Solanum lycopersicum: one gene and its partner. The protein of the gene in region 2 binds, or shares a complex with, the protein of the main gene of each other region. Links are inferred from orthologs where the notes say so. Each region holds a gene or a part of one and is shown on either strand. Other genes may lie near its edges.

Region 1 (3,926 bases), about 14 Mb from region 2:
TTTTGGTGTGTATGCGCTTGCTGTGCATACAAACTAGTCTTGTGTATTAATGCAACAGTTTTAAGTGAAATGACGCCAATGTAAATTTGTTAAGAGGCGTATGGACTGAAAATACTAGCTTAAACTTTATGTATAGCCTGGTATCATGAAAATTTTGTAACTACCATCTCTGTAACATCTGCTAATATGATTCATTATCATTTTTATTCAACAGCCTCAAAGCTCTTAGACGCGAGAGAAGTATGCTCTGTCGGCTCATATATAAAAAGTTACCAGGAGCTGAAAGAAACGAAATATACCAGAAATGGGGCATAAATTTGAACTCCAAAAGGAGGAGACACCAACTGGTTCATCGTCTTTGGAATGACACAGATCTGAATCATGTGATAGATAGTGCTGCCATTGTCGCGAAGCTGATTGGGTTCTCTGACCAGGGTCCGGCCCTCAAGGAGATGTTTGGGCTTAGCATTACACCTCCTCCGAGGAAGAGCAGGAGATCTTTTGGCTGGAAGAACAGTATGTCATCCCTTCTCTGAGCTTTTTGAAAGTTCGGTAGCAAAAGAAGGATATAGGTGAAATTAGCAATAGTCTTATGATGAATGTAATTGGATTGGATACATGTTGCCAATTCACTGATTTAGAGGATTGATGAATAGTTTCTTTTATTAGTTTGCTTAAAGTTTGTACAATACTACTCTGGGGAATCAATTATAATTTTTTGCTTCATATTTGATAGTAATAGATAATGTCCTTAACAATCTAAATCTGGAATTGGAGAAAGTGTTCAAGTAATTCTTTTGGCATATGATATTATAAAACCAATTACTTGTAAGCTGTACCTATCTATACAAGCCATAAATTGGCGATTACCAGAACCAGTTAAATGACATAGCAAGTCTACAATTTTTTACACCGTTTATCGTGTCATACAATAGATTTGCAAGAATTTTAGCTATATTTTTCTTTATTAAATTCTGTAGTCTTTGGAACTTTGATCCATTTAAAATATTACCTCTCATTAAAATTAAAGAGCGATCTTATTCATTCCATCACAATTATTTATCAAAAAATTATTTAATAATTACTTATCATGCATTTTGATTTTTTTGGTGAATAAAATTAAATTGATTTTAGGCCTAAATTTGAAATAAGCGTATCAAACTGTGTAACTACGTTTAATTATATCAAATTTCATCTTTGTCTCTTTCCAAACAAGCCTTAATTACAATATACATCTTTCTTAATTATTCTTATTTTCCATTCACATTTCTTCAAAGTTGATACCAACTTAACTAGCTTGTAATAGATCATATGTCATTATTCAGAAGCACTAACCTAATTAAAATAACATAATAATTATTTTTAACAAACCACCAATAAGACAAATGAAAATGAAAAACCTTATAAATGAAAAGGTATGTTGTGGAACGACGTCGTAGGAAGTAGTTCTGAATACAAAGATCCAGAAAGGGGGAGAGAGCTCTGAGTAAACCAAAGGGAGAGAGATTGAGAAAGCGATGAGCGGAATAGCATCGGTATCGTTCTTAGCTCGAAGAGCATCGCAGAGGGAGAGGGTTCGGATCCTCTACAGGCGTGCTCTCAGAGACACTCTTAATTGGGCCGTCCATCGTCATCTCTTCTATCCTGATGTAAAAATGTTTATCCCAATTCCTAGGGTTTCTTCCATTGATTCGTTTTTTCCACATTTCCTTCATTCGATCTCTATGTGTTCTTGTTTTTAGTTATATATAACTGGTGATTCGTGTTATTGATTAATTTATTTGTTTGTTTGTTTGTTTGTTTTCAGGCGGATGCCCTAAGGGAGCGATTTGAGGTCAACAGAAAAGTGGTTTGTTTTTATTTTCCTTCTTCTTATCCTTTTTATGCAACTTTTCATTTTTCTGATAAGGATTATATGGTTTTAGCTTGATGTTGGGAGTGAAGTCTGTATGTTTTAGTGTTATACAGAGCGACTTGTTCATGTGTAATTTTTTAATTGTGTATGTTTATCAAAAAAACAATAAAAGTTCACATTTAGTGTACTATCAAATAAAATGCTGAAGTATTAATTAGTGTTGAATACAAGTAGTGATAGAAGTATTTGTGAAGGGTAAAATAAAAATTATTTTAGACTGTATGAGTCCTGAAGTGTTCATTTCATTCTTCTTTTCCTTGTTTTTGTTGTGATTTGTTTGTGTACTAGCATATTTTTGGAGTATACAAATTGGCATTTGCTGGTGGTATCATATGTGTTTAGTTCGATATTTGGACATGATATGTTCTGATCATATGTGTTTCGAAAAAAGAATTCACCTTTGTCATGCTCAATTCGTATTTGATGCACAAGTGATACTGGAAACAGTGTGAGGTCAATGTTGCAGATTCTGTTATATAGTAAGAACAATTAGTTACGGATTGGTTTTGGTTCAATTAGTAACTTTCTGGGATTGAGTATTCTGTATTAAAGTTCTTTATGGATAATGAAAATTTACGCTGCTTTCATCTTAGTGATGGCTAATTTCATGGCCAAATGACTGAGCATCTGCGTTCTCTTTTTCAACAAGTGAAATTGTAATTCTGTAGTAACATATTTTGCATTATGTTTTTTTCTTTTTTGTAGTTTTATCTTTTAAGTTCATTTTATTCTGTCTTGGTTTGTTAACATTCAGGAAGATGTTGAAACTATTGATAGACTTATAGCTGATGGTGAAGCATCCTACAATAAGTGGCGGCACCCTGATCCTTACATTGGTATGTTTCTTTATGATTTTTGTATCAAACAACTGCACTTCGATCCCAAGCAAGTTGAAGTTTGCTATATGAATCCTCACTGTCTATGTATTCTTTGTGAGTTTTTCGCTATTAATAAACTGGATTTTCAATCCAATGAACCACAAAAATGTTAAGGATATGTCGGAGTCTGTATTATATGAGATACAGGTTTTGAACTGAATTAGGACCCCCCAGGGTGTGGGTTTTGGTCTAGTGGAGAGAGAGCAGCTTGTACTGTGTGGGGTTAGGCGCATGTCACAGATTAAAGCCTGGTATTTTAAATTATAAAAAAAATGGCTGGTATTTTGAGTGAAGGGTAGGATGGAGCCCATTTTCCACTGAATTTCAAAATGTCACTACTGGCAAGCAGGGATTTCTCAGCCATCAACAAGAAGCCTTGAAATTATAGCCGGCATAAGTTCTGTTGAAATCTTTCACATCTTCCCAACTGTTAGGGGTGCTAAGTTCTTAGACCTAGGGAGTATTGTTTTTTCATATGAAAAAAGACTGCCTCTAATGATGAAATGTCTTGTGGATCACGAGAAAAAAAGGAAGAAAAGAAAAATATCTGCAGGATATGTCTCATCTAAATTTTTATCTATGTTGAAGTTTGTAGATGCTAATTGATAAGTGATTACCTTAAGTCTTGTCCTACTTACCTTTGCATGTTTCCTTGTTGGATTGTGTGATGATCTTTTTTGTTCATACAACTTTTGTCAAATGTTAACAAGCAGTAAACAGATTGCCTTTATAATTTTTTTTAATGTGAAGTATTAGTTTTTGAAAGGATAGTCTTTTGATTTTTTGACACACTTCGGAAATGTGGTAAATTGTGGAAATATGAAAAGTTGAGTGAACTATTTTATGCTTTAGACTTCTGGTAATAGTTTGTCTTTCAATGATGAGCAGTTCCATGGGCACCTGGTGGTTCCAAGTTCAACAGAAATCCAGTGCCGCCAGAAGGGGTAATTTGCTTAGACATTTATTTACATCACGGACAATGTTTCAGTTTATGCTAGTTGCTTTAGCCATTTACTTTCCTGTTTCGTCAGTTTTTGCAACCATCAGGAGTACTCTTCAACTGTTAATTTTTCTATCTGTTGACAACTTGCTAATTCATTCTTCTTTAAATGTCATGACATGTGAAGATCTTT
Region 2 (3,926 bases):
CATCTCTAGGTTAAGGCACTATGCCCAATACTAGCTGGATTCTTATGCAGACCAACTTATAACAGTGATTAGGATACTACTGTGTCAAAGTTGATGCTCTTTTGGTAAAACCTTATCTATTCTTTTTAGCTTAGAATATGAAGAAAATATATGGTAATAGTTAGTTTTTTTCTACTTTTGTCTTACAAGAAGAAGACCCTTCTACAGAGAGAGAGAGAGAGAGGTCATTTGCATTGAACCTGCACATTTGCCGCACTTCTCCACTCGCACCCCTATATTACCAATATACCAAACCCATCCCTTGCACTCCCATGACTCCCTCTCATATCTTTTATCTCGCCAAAGATCAGTCACACAATGATGACGAAAGAGGTCAATAACTTCTCACCACATAGATCACATTAGCAAACTCTTTATCCCAGGCATGGAGCTCTAAAGATACTAAATCTTGAATTGTTTTACGGGGACTTCAAAACGGTTATGGAGATCAGAGATGCGAAAGCAAAAGTCATCAAAAGGTAAGTCGTATTCTGAACAAGATATATGCATTATCACTGACAAACACCCAACAAAGCTAAAAAACAGCTGGCAAACCCAGGTTGCAATTCTACAGAACCAACTTGACATTGTTCATCATGTGAAGGCGAAATGAGGGCCAGCAAAAGCATTTTCCAGTAAGTAACAAGCTCGACAGGCAAAGAAAGTAGTAGAATAAATTTTGATATCACGTCATTGAGGCATAAGTGCCTGCTGAAACATTCCTGGACCTAATTTTGGAGTCCTTGACAGACACTTACCACCCAACACATCTTGCAATAGAACTCTAAAAGCATCTTATTCATCTTTCAGATTAATATTTCCTAATGGAACAAACTTCAATGAACAAAATTATAGTCCATTGTGACCCAAAATATTTCCCGTTCTCTACAATTTGTTCCCAAATTTAATCTTAAATATACTAAACAAAAACTTCTGTGTTGGAAGCTTTCCTGGTTGGTGATACTATGAAATTATGTGCATCCTCTGTTCTAAATTCTACCTTTTTTAAGTTATAAACCTATATTCCCTTGTTTTCGTTCATTAAACCAATTAATTGACGTATCTTTAAAAAAGAAAAAAAAAGGGGGGGGGGGGGGGGGGGGCAGCGAAAGGTGTCATAACCTAACACTTTAGAGCAAAGATCATCTAATAGGTAGATGAGTTCTCTTCTACTGAATCAAATTACACTAAGTTCGATTGGAATTCATGAAAAGTAAATAATTATTCAGTTTAAGTTCAGAACATAGCATTCAGTGGATGAGAAATTTCTCGTTTACTTGTTTTCCAGTCTCAAAGTCGCTTAGAGCTACGACTAACATTTGACATCCAACCTTACAAGAAACTAGAAAAATAAGAAAGAGGATCAACTTCTAGTTCCATTCGCAATCTGCTCAGACAAAGATCACACAATTAAGCTTTTTGAGTGACAATGTTACACTAAAATTGCAATGGACACCAATATTTTCTTTTAATATTCTCCTCTTATTCTTGTGCTGTGCTAGGAGATAATAGCTATATAATTTGATAATATGACAGTGTTTAATCATATAGGTGACCCGATTACCTTCGGATTGATGTTGTTGTTATTTCCATAAGCCAATGCCTATATAATCTTCCTTTTTGGGCGTTAAATAGGTAACCATACCATTTTATAACACTAAATATATTTCACTTTGTTTCATGTCCAGTAAAAAGATACCCATATCATTTTGAAAAACATATAGTACCTATTTTCACGGATTCTCAAAGCTCAAAAAGAAGCCTATTGCTAAACGAAACCCTAAATACCAATCAATTTACCAGTGAATATCATATATGTCCAACCAGAGCTGAGCACCTATCGGCCAAGTAATTAGACCAATAAACAGCTATCTACGATACAAATAGACCATTGATTGAACTTGCAGACGGATTTTTCAGATCTAATTCGATTCATCAAATGTGTATATAAAATAAATCAAAATAAAAGAGAGGAAAAAATACCTTGGAAGGGTCGACTTTAGGGAAGCACTTGACGACATCAAGGACTCTCTTGATGACTTCATCTTTGGTGATATGGTCATCGTGCGACGACATCAATCTGACAGCGGTTAGCCTCAATCCATTTGCCGATACAGCTTGGGTTGCCGGAATCCGGATGTGTCGGAGTATAGCAGATCTCAACGCCGACGCCATTGTTGTTCTCGTATTCTTTGTTATCCCTCTTCTGTTTAGCTTGTTGCGACTGGAAAAAAGTGTTGAATTAGACTGAGGTTTGAGGATTAATTTGGTATTTTACATCGTGATCCCTTGGACCGGAATAGTGAGCCCCCCGGTTCACAAGTACTTGCTGAAAAAAATAAAAATAGAAGGGTTTTGGTTTTGGTTTTGGTTTTGCTTATATTTGACTTGGCAAAAGAAAAAAACTTTATTAGGGCGCGCATTCAGTTTTTTGGTTTGATTTTGTACTATTCGATTTAAGTTTTGATTTTTATTTTTGAAGAAGTGTAACTCAATTTGAACCAAATAAATTTGATTTGGTTTGATTTTTCTCTTTTTAATTAGAATTTTTTCAGTTTGATCAATGGGTTATGTCACTAATTTGAAACATAACAAAGTTCTATTTGCAATTTTACAGAAGACATAAAGACACCAAAGTTGTCTCATACTTTCATAAAGACACTTTAACTTTCAAAGTGTCCTATCACCCCATTGAACTATTTAATATATTTGTAAATGGGTCATTTTGACTCATTCCCTCGTCTAGGTTGTTATCACGCACATGAGGCCCGTCATGCAATATTTTCACTGTCATGGACCAATTTAAACGTGCCACATGTTATCTTTTTCTTTATTATTAATTATTTGATTAATTTATGTCATCTTCCCCAAATTTAAACCCAAAATAGTAGTTGATAGCCCTAATTTTTTGATTTCGTGATTTTTTTCATAGCAAAATCAATGTTGGTTTGATGACTTCATCATCATACGTTGTCCTTAATCATTAAAATAGAATAGTTGAATGATCATTTGAGTATAGGAATCACTCTACTTTGCAATTAGGATTGTCCCGTCATTTTCCTTGGTTGGAAAAAAAAGGAGACTTTTCATTGATTATCCATTCCTTACTCCAATTCAACAAAGGTTAAACTCAACTGCATGAATCACTACGAATACAAATTGAGTAAGATCACGAAAAGCAAAAGCTACTATGTTAAAAAGAAAAAAAGTTCAATAGCCAATAACAAACTGCATAAATTCAGGATCAGACCCCAAGCCTTCCTCCTCCTTCTTAACCTGAAAAGACTGATATCCTCCCGTCAAATATGTGTCGCCCGTCCACTCTGAATAGCAACAAGCCCGCCCCATCCCAAAAGAGAAGATGACTTTTCTTCAAAGAATAGAGTCGATGGGATTGAATTTTGTCATAGTGAGTGAGCAACACGCACAATTACATAGACTAAGGAATGGGTCAAAATGACTCATTCACAAAGATATTGAATGTCTTTATGTCTTTATATATATATATATATGTAAAATTTGGTTTTTCTGGTTTTCATTTTTCTAAATTCGGAATCGAACTAAAAAATCAAACAAAATAAATATAAATCCAAAATCAAACCAAGAATCCAAAAAATCAATCCAAATTAGAATTTTCTTTGGTTTGGTTTGGTTTTTCGATTTAATTCAAATAGTGCACACCCTTAATTACATATTTGTGTAGTTAATCGATTGAGAATTCAAAAGTTAAAATATTTTTAATTAGGGAAAAATAATAAATATATCTTTGAATTATTGTATATGATATGTAGATAATTTTTGTTATATTTTTGGGATATTAGTGCTTCTATGGTTCAAAAGCTAGAGTATCTATATTATTTATATTAACAAACATACACATGTCATAA

What was found.
Region 1: the proteins of acyl carrier protein 1, mitochondrial (region 2) and NADH dehydrogenase [ubiquinone] 1 beta subcomplex subunit 9 are in contact, whole or in part, in a cryo-EM structure (PDB 8BEH), measured with the Arabidopsis thaliana proteins. The link is inferred for Solanum lycopersicum from reciprocal best matches to the Arabidopsis thaliana genes MTACP-1 and CIB22. Residues at the interface, in NP_181990.1 of Arabidopsis thaliana: Asp78, Ser79, Leu80, Asp81, Val83, Glu84, Val86, Met87, Glu90, Glu91, Lys94, Leu95, Glu96, Ile97, Asp99, Lys100, Ala102, Asp103, His118, Met120; in NP_567970.1 of Arabidopsis thaliana: Glu18, Arg21, Ile22, Tyr24, Arg25, Arg26, Leu28, Lys29, Leu32, Arg38, Phe41, Arg49, Phe52, Asn53, Tyr84, Ile85, Val86, Pro87, Trp88, Ala89.

The regions. Positions count from the first base shown.
Region 1 is NC_090800.1:93,192,383-93,196,308, forward strand, and holds the start of NADH dehydrogenase [ubiquinone] 1 beta subcomplex subunit 9, read left to right. Parts: upstream 1-1,264; 5' UTR 1,265-1,517; coding exon 1,518-1,649; intron 1,650-1,807; coding exon 1,808-1,849; intron 1,850-2,669; coding exon 2,670-2,751; intron 2,752-3,681; coding exon 3,682-3,737; intron 3,738-3,926. Other genes in the region: kinesin-like protein KIN-7E, read left to right, coding at 215-536. UniProt on the Arabidopsis thaliana protein: Accessory subunit of the mitochondrial membrane respiratory chain NADH dehydrogenase (Complex I), that is believed to be not involved in catalysis. Complex I functions in the transfer of electrons from NADH to the respiratory chain.
Region 2 is NC_090800.1:79,120,342-79,124,267, reverse strand, and holds the start of acyl carrier protein 1, mitochondrial, read right to left. Parts: upstream 2,452-3,926; 5' UTR 2,215-2,451; coding exon 2,023-2,214; intron 1-2,022. UniProt on the Arabidopsis thaliana protein: Carrier of the growing fatty acid chain in fatty acid biosynthesis. May be involved in the synthesis of short and medium chain fatty acids.